Linked DNA regions of Drosophila melanogaster. The protein of the gene in region 1 interacts with the protein of each later gene in a pairwise test. Each region holds a gene or a part of one and is shown on either strand. Other genes may lie near its edges.

The links.
Region 2: the proteins of Tom70 (region 1) and Lmx1a interact in a two-hybrid assay, tested with the Drosophila melanogaster proteins (one large-scale study listed by BioGRID).

Annotation. Positions count from the first base shown.
Region 1 is NT_033779.5:12,035,456-12,040,309, reverse strand, and holds Tom70 (translocase of outer membrane 70), read left to right. Parts: upstream 1-1,798; 5' UTR 1,799-2,017; exon of another isoform or gene 2,018-2,139; 5' UTR 2,140-2,179; coding exon 2,180-3,155; intron 3,156-3,245; coding exon 3,246-4,039; 3' UTR 4,040-4,307; downstream 4,308-4,854. Other genes in the region: CG6766 (uncharacterized protein), read left to right, coding at 1-45, 108-925, 983-1,483; CG18788 (uncharacterized protein), read right to left, coding at 4,325-4,854.
Region 2 is NT_037436.4:12,327,581-12,335,244, forward strand, and holds the start of Lmx1a (LIM homeobox transcription factor 1 alpha), read left to right. Parts: upstream 1-1,651; 5' UTR 1,652-1,889; coding exon 1,890-2,673; intron 2,674-6,626; coding exon 6,627-7,505; intron 7,506-7,579; coding exon 7,580-7,664.

The DNA of each region.
Region 1 (4,854 bases):
TGGAACACCAAAAAGAGGAGGAAAAGTCCGACAAGCCAGAGTTGTGTAAGAAATTGGCATTGCAACTAACATCCCATTGGATTATACATAATTTCCGAATTCCGCAGCTCCAATTACTCTGCTGCAGCCCATTTTCTCCGCCCTGACTTGCACGTACCGCATCGAGGCCTACTGGTCGTACGAAATCTGCCATGGCCACCATGTGCGTCAGTATCACGAGGAGCGCGAAGGAAAGAACGTCAAGTTCCAGGAGTACTACCTGGGCAAATGGACCGATGAAAAGATGGAAATACTGACAAAAGCCTGGCAAGCAGACATCAAGGCGGGCGTTAAGCCGAAATACAAAAGCCTGAAGATCGACAACACTCGGTATCCATACTTTGAGATGGAATACAGCGATGGCACTATGTGCGACATAATTAACGCTCCTCGCACCACAATGGTGCGTTATGTGTGCTATCCCCATGGTAAGAACGATATCTACTCCTTCAAGGAGACATCCTCGTGCAATTATGAGGCCATTATACTTTCCTCGGCGCTGTGCCCAATTCGCGCCCTTCATGCCGAAGAGACCAAGGAACTATCCATACAATGTTTCAACTCCGAATCGAAACCGCACAGACCGCTGAGCATGCTGCGGTCGGAGCTAAAGGAATGGGTTGAATCCGAGGCGGATCTGCTGGTTTTCAAGGAAAAGGCTACGGAAAATCTGTGGCCCAAGACGGATGGCGATTTGGTCACCCTTAACTATGGCGGTGATATGGAAAAAGTCCTGCTCGAGCATTTCAGGAATGGTGACCTGAAGGTAGACGGAGACTTTCAGCAGCTCCTGCTGTCTATAGCAGCCTCTGAAACTGGACCAACACCCATCACTGATCTGACGCCCCTTAAGGACTTTATATCGGGCAAGAACTGCCTAACTGGGGTAGGAATAACATGCAGCTGACCCATGCATTTGCTTCAATAATACTCTTTTTTTTAGGGCAATGGCTGGTGGAAGTACGAGTTCTGCTATGGCCGACATGTGCGTCAGTTCCACAAAGATAAGACCAGCGAAGTGGAGCTCTTTCTTGGCTACTTCTCAGAGGAAGCGCATCGTGCTTGGTCCAACGCCAACCCGGACAAGGGTGCACGCCGTTCCGGCTTCACGACATCCATCTGGCACCATTATGGCAAGGGAACCCACTGCGAACAGATTGGAGTGCCCCGCGAAGTGGACGTGAAGTTAACCTGCACACCTGTAACGAACAGCGGCACCGCTGTATCCATGTACCTGCTTGAGCCGAAGACGTGCCAGTATATCCTGGTCGTGGAGTCGCCCACAATATGTGATCTCATCCACAACGCCGATTCCCAGGGCCTAGTTAAACTGGAGAATCTGGACAAGATCTTGGTTACGGAAACCGATAAGTCGACTACCAGTTCCGCTTCTGCTCCTGCTCCAGCTCCAACTTCCAGCACAGATGAGGAGAATCACCCATAGGCTGTCCGTGTATTCTAGTGAATTCCTATAAATACATTGATTGTAATATTACAATGCATTTGTATTTCAATTTGTAAAGTGGATGAAACCGATTTTAAAATTTAAGAACTCTGTTTCGGTCTGATAGAATGTAATATAGAGATCTAAAATATTTATTCGTACAGTATTCGTAAAGTATAAATTCAGGCTTTATTACAAATACATCATATTCGAACTCCTTAGTTTTTTTTTAAACTATTCACACAATTTATTCTCTCACTGATCTTCTTCTTCCATAATAAGCATTCGCAGTGCCGTTATTACTCCATACCTATCGATGTCTATCGTTTTTCGATGTCGTGTGCTCAGCAGGCTGATATACAATAGAATCTAAGTTTCCCGAGTTCTAACTGAAAATAGAACAATCGACGTTTAACAATTGCCAAATTCACAGCAGTGTAAAGTTTTAAAAAAGTGTAAGTTCCGTTCGCTGACTGCACTGATTCACATCCCGGCCAGTTGGGGGTGTGAAAAATCAATTGGGTTGGGGGTTAGGTACTGCAGAAACGTGCCCCCCGCCCGGCATTTAGCAAGCTCAAAAGGCGCTGAGCGATAAGCCAGCGGAGTATTACACAATTTGTGGCGGCACCCAAACTGATTCAGCTCTTTTCTTGCAGTTCATCACACATAACACACATCCATAAAAAGACCGGCTCAATGGCGATGACTCTGAACATTGGCTCGATGAAGCTGACAAAGTGGCAGCTGGCGCTCATCCTTGGAACTCCCCTGGCCATTGGACTGGGCACCTATGCGGTGAAGAGCTGGACGGCTGCGTCCAAGGAGTTGGACGGGGAGAAGAAGAGACCAAAGGCCAAGATCGAGAAGCAGGCCATCTCCCTGGACGGCACCGCACCGGACCAGGAGCTAGAGCGCAATCAAAAGTCCGCTGAGCTGGGCGAGAAGCTGTCGCCTCTTAAGGAGGCCAACAACTACAAGACGGAGGGTAACAACTGCTACAGGAATGGGAAGTACGATGAGGCCATTAAATTCTATGACAAGGCCATCGACAAGTGTCCCAAGGAGCACCGCACTGACATGGCCATCTTCTACCAGAACCGCGCCGCCTCTTACGAGATGCTCAAGAAGTGGTCCAACGTCAAGGAGGACTGCACAGCCTCGCTGGAGTTCAATCCTCGTTACGCCAAGGCATATTATCGTCGTGCCCGTGCTCACGAAGCCACCAAGGATATGAACGAGTGCTTGGACGATGTCACAGCCACCTGTATCCTGGAGATGTTCCAAAATAATCAAACTATCATGTTCGCTGACCGTGTGCTCAAGGAGACCGGCCGACTGGACGCCGAGAAGGGTATGCGCAATCGGGTGCCAGTCGTGCCGTCGGCTTGCTTCGTAAACACCTACACGCGTTCCTTCATCGCGGATCCGCTGCAGACCATGAAAGTCCCAGCCCCTAAATCCGATGCACCCCCAAAGGGTTTCCTGCGCGCCCACCTCGCTTTCCTCGAGGAGAAGTACGAGGAAATTATTCCCGCCTGCACCGAAGAGATCGAATCCTCCGAGGCCGAAGCACAGTACAAAGTGGAGGCTCTGCTTATGCGGGGAACTTTCCATCTGCTGTGCGGCTCCTATGTAGAAAGCCAGCAGGACTTTGATGCTATTATAGCTAATGGTAAGAATTTGTTTAAGTTTAATTCATTAATTAGTCGGTTTTCTTCAGTTGTTTTTTGATTTCTATTCTATTAACTTTATTTCACTACAGACTATGCTGATCCCAACTTGCGTGCGTATGCCTACATAAAGCGGGCAGCTCTCTACATCCAGCTGGATCAGCGCGAAAAGGGTATAGCCGATTTTGCTGAGGCGGAACGCCTGAACCCAGAGAACCCAGATGTGTACCACCAGCGCGCCCAGATACTTCTGCTGCTGGAGCAGATAGAGCCCGCCTTGGCCGAGTTCGAAAAGGCGGTGAGCATTGCACCCAACCACGCCATCGCCTTCGTCCAGAAGTGCTATGCCGAGTACCGACTATCCCTCCTGGCCGGCGACCAGCGGCGCTTGGAGAGCGTAATGCACACCTTCCAAAATGCCATCGAGCGTTTCCCGAGCTGCGTTGAGTGCTATAGTCTAACGGCTCAGGTGTTGGCCGACCAGCAACAGTTTACCCAGGCGGAGGAATACTACAAAAAGGCCATGGTATTGGCGCCAACAAATCCTGCACTTATCGTTCACCAGGCCATCATGGTGCTTCAGTGGCGCGGAGACATTAATTTGGCTGTCCAGCTGCTCAACAAGGCGATCGAAGTAGATCCCAAATGCGAGCTGGCCTACGAGACACTCGGAACAGTCGAAGTTCAGCGGGCGCAACTCACACGGGCCGTCGAGCTTTTTGAAAAGGCACTGCTTTATGCCAAGAGTCAGGCGGAGTTGGTGCACGTTTACTCGCTGCGCAACGCGGCAGTGGCCCAAATCAACGTCACCAAAAAGCTGGGTATCGACATGAACTCAGTGTCGGCAATGGCCCAATCCGGATTGATGGCCCAGGGCGTTGCATAGAGTATGAAACCGGTGTGTGTTGGGATTGATATCCCGAGAAAATAAGAGCCAGCGCGGAGCATTTAGCCAGCAGTCCTACTCTAATTAAGTTAATATCGACCATACCTGTTATTTATATATATATATATAAAGCTTGTTTACGTTTATGCTCCTAGCTTTAGCATAGAAATTGTCATGTATTATGGTACATATGTAAACTAGAATCTGTTGCCTAAGGAATCCACTAAGACAAATCCAGTAGCTTATGTTTAAGCGTAAGATTAAACTTAAAACAAGCAAGTCTCCTCATTGTGGCTCCCGTTCCGGTTGGTTAAACGCCTGGACATCGCCGGATATGTAGCTGGCGCCGATTACCCACATGGCGGCCCTCACACTGCTCACCAGCTTGTAGTCGGTCTCCAGTTGTTCCAGATAGGGCATCAGAAGTGCTGGAAGCGCGCCCATGCCGCCCGAAATGCCCATCAAAGTGCCAGCATAGTTGGGACTCATATCCAGCGGTAGCAGCTTAATGCTCGCATAGTAGGCTCCCATGCCAAGAACGCTCCAGATTCGTGCTCCGCTCATCTTGATCTGTAGCATGTACATGGATCCGCATAGGAAGACCAACCAGGACATGAGGCGGCGTGTCTGAGTGCGCGTGAGAATCTGCTGCTCGATTAGCACGTCGCTCAGCCGCCCTGTTGTCAGTGAAGCTATCCAGTTTCCAACGGACGGTGCTATCGTTTCGATGATGGTGGTTAGTTCTGAGAAACTGGTGCCACGGGCTCTTACTTCCTCTAGCGCAATTTGCAGCTCCTGGGGCAATTTCTGTTGGA
Region 2 (7,664 bases), on another chromosome or scaffold:
TACTGCCAGGCGATGGTGTGGTGGCCCAAAAGGGGGCCAAGAATTCGAGCTTCGACTCCAGAAGTAGCGCCAAACTTTTATGCACAGCACCATGTTTGGTTTGTCTTTCCAGCTTCCGCTTTTCTTCTTGCCGCTCGGGTTTCTCTTTTCCTTCATCCTTTCTCATCCTCGGTGATAGTATCTGTGCTTCAGTGTGTGCGTGTTTGCGGGGGCGGATAGTTGGGTTTCGGCCTCTTTGGGGGCGCCGGAAATGGGGCTGCCTCCCAGTTGTCGGTGGGCTTTTGATGCTCATACAGGGTGACATTGCCACTTCCGCTTTAAATCGCTGGAAATTAGAGGGGTATGAGCATTGAAAACTTAATAAATCTTAAATCTTGCTTAAAAGCAACTTTTATTTAATTTAAAGATATTATCGGAATAAGAATTCTATAAATGTAATTTCATAAAAGAAACTTATTTTTATGAAGTCTTACAACTTTGAAAACTGCTTAAAAAAGATTGATTTTGAAAAGAAATAAATAAACATCTTTTCTCTTTGAGTAACTACAATAAATAATGTCTTGAATCAATTATAAAGAGATTATACTTCAGTTTTACTAAGTTCTTTAATAATACTATAGTCACAGACTTAATCTTCACTTTTACAGTAGACATAATAACATTAATGGAATAAAATGTATGGAAATCATTATCCAGAATTCAAAACTAGTTCATTTAAATTTTAAGAATCCTTTAAGAATTTCAAAAAACTTTTGTTGTGAGACATTAGGTCCTTAAATAACCTGCCCAATGTATTGAGAAGCACCCGTTCCCATCTTGTTTATCGCCAACTTTTTTCACCCGCAAAAAGTAAAATGCAAGTGCAAAAAAGCGTAAAAGAAGACAAGGCCATTGTTTTTTTCTGCCTCTACTGCTGCCACTGCTGTGTTTGTTGCCTTTGTTGTTGCTGGCATTCTGGTCCAGTCGTGCCACTCAAAGAGCCAACAGCAGCAGCAGCAACAACTCAAGGAAATTGTCGCCGTCGAGCGGCAAACTCGCCAAAGTTGCCGCGAGTGCAAGTGCAAGTATGTCTTTGTGCCCCATCAGCAGCAGCAGCAGCGGCAGCAACACCAGCAACAACCAGCAACATGCAGCTGCCGCACGCCCACCGATGGCCGCCCACAAGCCGACTTGGTCTTGCATTAAAGCCAAGACATCTACGAATATGAGAAAACCAAATATAAAAAAAAACAAAAGAAAAGAAAACCCGCACTTCCCCTGCGCACATGCGCCGTGCGGCAAAATGGACGCCGGGGAAATGGCCAGCCAATCGCAGCGAGGCTGAGGTGTGGCCAGCGATTTGCGAGGGACTTGCTCTCTGCCAGAATTTCCCTCGCTGCTAATAATCACTTGAGACATGCGCACTGCCGGGGCAGAGAGGGGGTTGCTGCAACCCTTGCACCGATACAACCCCTGGCATCACGTGCAACACGAAGAGCTGCTGTTGTTGCCGCAGGCCAAGCGGCAGTTGTTGCTCCGCAGCTCCGTTGCTCCGTCGCTCCGTTGCTTTTGTAAACAGGCGCAGGCGCAGTGCGCGGGGGTACGTTTCAGCTGGGATTTTTTTTTTTTTTTGTGAGGGCAAAGTGAAATGCTTTGATTTCGCTGATGGTTCGATCACACGCCAACTGACAGCGAACGCGGCTGGTTGTCCTCGCATTCGGCAGCGCAAGAATAGGCCACCGAAATCATATTCTAAACGAAACTGAACAGAAGCGTAGTTAAAGTTAAAGCAAAAGCAATCGAGCGTCTTGTTTGTGTGTCGCGTGTTCCTTGTGCGGTGTTGCATGTGACATTTTCGTAGACTCGAAACTAAAAAAGTAACAGCGGTGTTTTGTGGCAACTCGTATACGATGCTGGAGTTCTACCCAATGCCCACGAATCTGAATCCAGTCGGTGGCAGTTTGTACTCGCTGCAGCAGAATCATGGCGGCGCGCGATTCCTGGACAATCCAAATCCCGGCAGCATGACTGCCAGCAGCGGCAACTCCCTGCATCTTAGCAATAGCAACAACAATCTGCCAACAAGCATTTCCGGCAACAATAGTCCCACGGCAACGGCTTCATTAACGGGGCAGCATCAGCAGCACCAGCAGCAGCAACATCAGCAGCAGCAGCAACACCCCCACCAGCAACATCAGCAACACCAGCAGCAACACGCTGCCTCGACCACGCCAGTGCCAATTAACAGCTGCCCCACGCCCACAGGACACAGCCCCCTCAGCAGCAGCAGCAGCAACAGCAACCACAACAATAACAACAACAACAACAACGGGGGCAGCAGCAGCAACAACCTCCACTCAGCCTGCAACACATTAACAGCTGCTGCTGTTGCCGCTGCCTCTGCCGCTGCTGTGGCAGCTCCATCGCCAGCAGGCACCTCAGTAGCCACCTCGCAATTAGGCGGAGCAGTTGCTGCGGCGATTGCTGCTGCTGCTGCGGCGGCTGCCGCTGCGACGACACCCACATCGACGGGCCCAGCGGCCACAGGAAGCGGAAATGCAAATGGCAGTGGCAACGGAAACGGAAATGGCAATGGCAATGGAAACGGGAATGGAAATGGGAATGGAGGTGGTGCAGCAACGGCATCGGCAGCAGCGGCATCCAAATTGTCTGCCGATTGCAGCGGACGCACAGGTATGTTCCAAAAGTATTTTGCACCGGCAGTCGAGCAATTTACCGGCTCGTTCCTCTTCTGGGGTTTTCACGCTTTTCGTTTTTGGCATACTTGCGTGTGCCCGGCCTGCGGGTCCGTTTCTGTATCCGCATCAGCATCCGTATCCGTGTCCAGGTTCGGTGCTGCGCTGCGTGAGTTCCAAGCTGGTCGGACGAGGCTCCAGATTGTGTACAACCACCCACACCTGAGTATGCCGGCAGTTTGCGTGCGATGTGCTCGGCTTTTTGGGGCCCAAGGAATGCTTCTCTAGGGGAAAATATATAGATATTCGTTGTTTTTTCTTGCGAATAAAGTTGAAGTGCTTATTTCAAAAGGTGTTTACTCCTGAAACTTTTCTTTAAGCGGAATATTTCAGCATTTATTGATTGCAGTAAAAATTAGCGTATATATTCATAACATTAAAATAATATAAGAGAAAAGTATTCTTCATATTAATTAGCCTAAAATCAAAAGTAAATAATAATTTAAAAAACATTAAATAAGAATGTTCTTATTTGTTACTAGTTTGCTTTTAGTTTGCAGAATGCAAGTAAAGTCAATTTGGTTAGATATATCATAGGTTTTGTTAATTATTATTGTATCAATATTAGCATAAATCCATGTTTAACTTGGAACTTAATTGCAACTCAGCTTTCAAAGAGTTGGATTTACTTTTTAGCAAGTGAAATAGCCAGAGGCAGATTGTCCACTTATGTAAAAACAGGCAAAAGCAAATGCACAATTTCCGGCTAACACGTACATATATATTGACAGAGGACAATAAATTATGAATTTGTAGTTGTGATGGCGCACACATGTTGTGGATAGTTCAGTGGGCGGATGTGCGGCAAGCATGGCGAAAGTATTTCCAAAAGTATGAACGCAAGTTGACCACAAAATAATTTTGACAATGAACCTGTCTGACATCCGCCCGGCACGGCCAAAAAGAGGCGTGGCTCGACCAATAAAAGGCTATTAAAGCATGCCACACACTGCCTCCCTCCCACACACACACACACACACACACTGATGCTTTGGCATGCAGGCACACATACACACACACTCGCATGCATGACAGCCTCAAAATAGGCAACACTTTTCAGCTGAGTTGCAACGAAAGTGTTGCTGGGGAAAACTTTTGCGAATTTCCCTCCGAAATGCAAAGTGTGCAAACAATGTGTGTGATGCATATGCAGACCAGACCTCGTCCGAGGCTAAGTGGATTGTGTTTTCGGTTTTTTAGTGCCCCTCATCCGCCCACTCAATCGCCCACAATAGCTGTGCTCTCTTGCCGGCCAACTTTGCATTTGCCTATGAAATTTCTATTAATGCTCGCATTCTGCCATTTGCTATTTGCCATTTGCCATTGCCCAAATGGCAGCAAATAGTTTCCGTTTCCGCTCGTTCCGTGCCACTACCCCAATCCACACACCACTCCCCGCCTCTCATCCTAAGCTCCATTTTCCTCGGCAAACACTTGGATGCCGGCTGCTAAACTACTATCGGTGGCCCACACTTTGCAGAGGTCGAGGAATTTCGAATGGGCTGCCATTGGGGGTGGTGTGCACTCGGGGGCAGACCACGGAAATGAGCACACTCAGTGTCAGGTATTCCACCGAGCGTATCAGCATACATATTTGGCTTCTGCGGTGGCTCCAGCTTCGTCTTCCTGTCCTACCCACAAACCCCACCCACCCAATCGCCAGTAGGTGTGCATTTGTGTGGCGGAAGTATGCGCCATACGCATAGTTCTGTGTCACTTTCCGTTGAGATCCAGCTACACTGAAACAAAACTGCTATTCAAGAACTATACGGAAAATCCACTGGAACTCACAAAGAGTACTACATTTGAGTTTAGAATGCAAAAGTCAATATATTTTGCAATCCCTATTTGTAATTTGATTAAATCTGTATCTTACATTTTAAAAGAGTAGTTTTTGAAGTTCATCCTATTTTATTCATTATTTTATATTATGATTAATACCATTTCCATGGTGTAGATAGCAACGAAGAGTTTTAAAGACCCTGTTTGTTTGTCAGTCGAAATGAAAGCTGTCGAATTATGAGCTGCCTGTCAACGATGAACTGCTGCCAAAATCCGCGTGGCACGTGGACTGGACTCCAGTTAGTGGCCGAATTAGTGCCAGAAGTTGGGTGCTGTCTGCCGATTTATCTCCATATAACCCCGCCCCGCTGTCAATGTGTCAATAAATGCACCATATAGTGCGACAATCGTGGGGCGTTCGGGCAGATAAGCCCCTTTATCGGCGATAACGACGAGGACACTTTTCTCTATTAGTTCTATGTTTATCGTCGAGTTGATTTTGGATTTATCTGCTGTTTAATCTATGTATTTGACATGAGTGTGCCGCACTTGTTCCGACTGTTTGCGCTTGTTGTTTGTTGATTTTTGGACAAGTTTCGCCCAGGCTTTACCATTCAAGCCCAAAAACACACACTCACTCAATGCAGAGTCCTTTGTTGGCCAAAACAATACAGAGAAATCGGAAAAAAAGCATACATAAAACTGCAGTAAAATGCCATAAATTTCGATTAGATTACACAAACGAAATCCCGTCACAATATCGATGCTCAAAGCTCTACAAAAACATGAGGCCAAACTCAAAACGCAGCTCCCCTCTGGGGTTTATCAAATGAATCATTCTTGATTTTTTGCTCGGCCCATGCAAAAACCTTTATCGCCAATGCGATTGGATATGGATACTGCACAATAGGATGAAATGCAAGCCAAAAAACAGAAAAAAAAGGAAAATAGGAAAATGCCCGAGGACATTGTCAACTTTCCGCTGCACTGGCTTAGCGCCCCCTTACATAGGGATTTTCGTCCCTATTCCCAGACTATATATCACCCATACAGCCACATTCGCGTAGATATGGCGACTGTGTGCGTTTGTGTGTGTGGGGAGGCCATTGTGCCAACCATAAATCATGCACATTTTTCTGCCACTGAGCCACAGCCATATAATATAACACTCCACTTCCATTGCCAGTTTCCCTCCGCACTTTTTCTCCACTTTCCCTCCGCACTTTCCCAACTCGCTGCTCATTTTTCAAATGCTTCCATACATTTTTCGTGGCGGTCGTCATATATTTTTTATGTTTACTGCATGCAGCTTTTGTTGTGTTTTTCGGGTACTACTTTTTATGACTGGTTTACAGTTTCAAGAGCTCCGTCTACGGGAGGATTAGGTTCGTTCTACTTTGGGTAAGGCGAGCTGAAATCCAGTAGCTCCTCAATGGGAGATTAGCATTTTTTAAGGGACTTTGTTTAGGAGTTAAGCTTTGGCTTAAGTTCGGTGGTATATACAATATCAATTGAGCCATTTTCTGGCATGTTTATATACATTGATAATCGAGATGGGGGGCTGTTCAATAATACCGAACAAATACGGAAAACTTTACGTTTCAATTACGCATCAATAAGCTTTCAATACAAGCTGTTGCAGTCCGACGACAGATAATTTTTTCCAGCGAAGAGTTTTCCTTCTGTTTTTCCATCGAAAGTGCGAAACAGCGAACGGAAAAACAAGAGAGACGTTGAAGCATTTTCACACGATTCGATTGTCAGCGCGCTCCTTGCTCCATTGGCAGCACATGTCATGATAATTTCGCAGCGACATGTGCCGCCATCACGTATACGCCACGTACGCCCATCACAGTAGGGCGAATAAGCGGAGTTACACTGGAACAAAATTACTAAAGTATTAGGATTCTTCTTTGAAATATTTCTGTTCTCAAGAAAATGTTTCATATATATTTTCCAAGTATGGGTTAAATATTCGATTAAATTGATTATTAATGTAGATAGATATATTTATTATATTTTAAACCTCAGTGTATTAGTTACTTGAAATGTATTCTGCGACTTACTAACGCGACTTTTTTCCCCCATCTTTGCTTGTTTCATCCCCAGAAGTGGGCCACATCAAGTGCGAGAAGAACTTCGAGCTGTGCGAGGGCTGTGGCCAGAAGATCCATGACCGATTCCTGATGAACGTGGGCGATGCCAACTGGCACGAGCAGTGCCTGGCCTGCTGCTACTGCGGAATGCAGCTGCACCACACCTGCTACGTGCGCAACTCGAAACTCTATTGCAAGATGGACTACGACCGGCTGTTCGGTGTGAAGTGCTCCTCCTGCTGCCATGCGATCCTGCCGCAGGAGCTGGTAATGCGACCCATACCGAACTTTGTCTTCCACCTGCCCTGCTTCGTTTGCTACGCCTGCCGATTGCCGCTCCAGAAGGGCGAGCAGTTCATGCTGCGCGATGGCCAGCTCTTCTGCTATCGTCACGATCTGGAGAAGGAGATGTTTCTGGCAGCCGCTGCTGCTCAGCACTGTGGGTTCGTTGGCCTGGACGAGGAGGATTTGCTGAGGCCACGGGATGGAAGGAGAGGTCCGAAACGACCACGCACCATCCTCACATCGCAGCAGCGCAAACAGTTTAAGGCCTCCTTCGATCAGTCACCCAAACCATGTCGCAAAGTGCGCGAAGCCCTGGCCAAGGACACCGGCCTATCGGTTCGTGTAGTGCAGGTGTGGTTCCAAAATCAGCGCGCCAAGATGAAGAAGATTCAGCGCAAGGCCAAGCAGAATGGTGGCTCCGGCGGAGGATCGGGCAGTGGGCGTGGCACGGGCAATTCCAGCGCCACCGACGATAAGGACACCAATGACAAGGAGGACAAGTGCGTCAAGCAGGAGCTCGGAGGAGATAGCTCCGGTTATTTGGGTGGATTGGACAGCACTTTCGCCAGCCAGCCGCTGAATCCCAATTTGCCCTTCTCACCGGATGGTAAGTGGTTCGATTTGAAGTTTGATTTCGTCCAAGCATTATTCTACAAGTACTAATGGCTTGCTTTTCAACAGACTATCCGGCCAACTCGAATGACAGCTTCTGCAGCTCGGACCTCTCGCTGGATGGGAGCAACTTTGACCAGTTGGATGACGATGC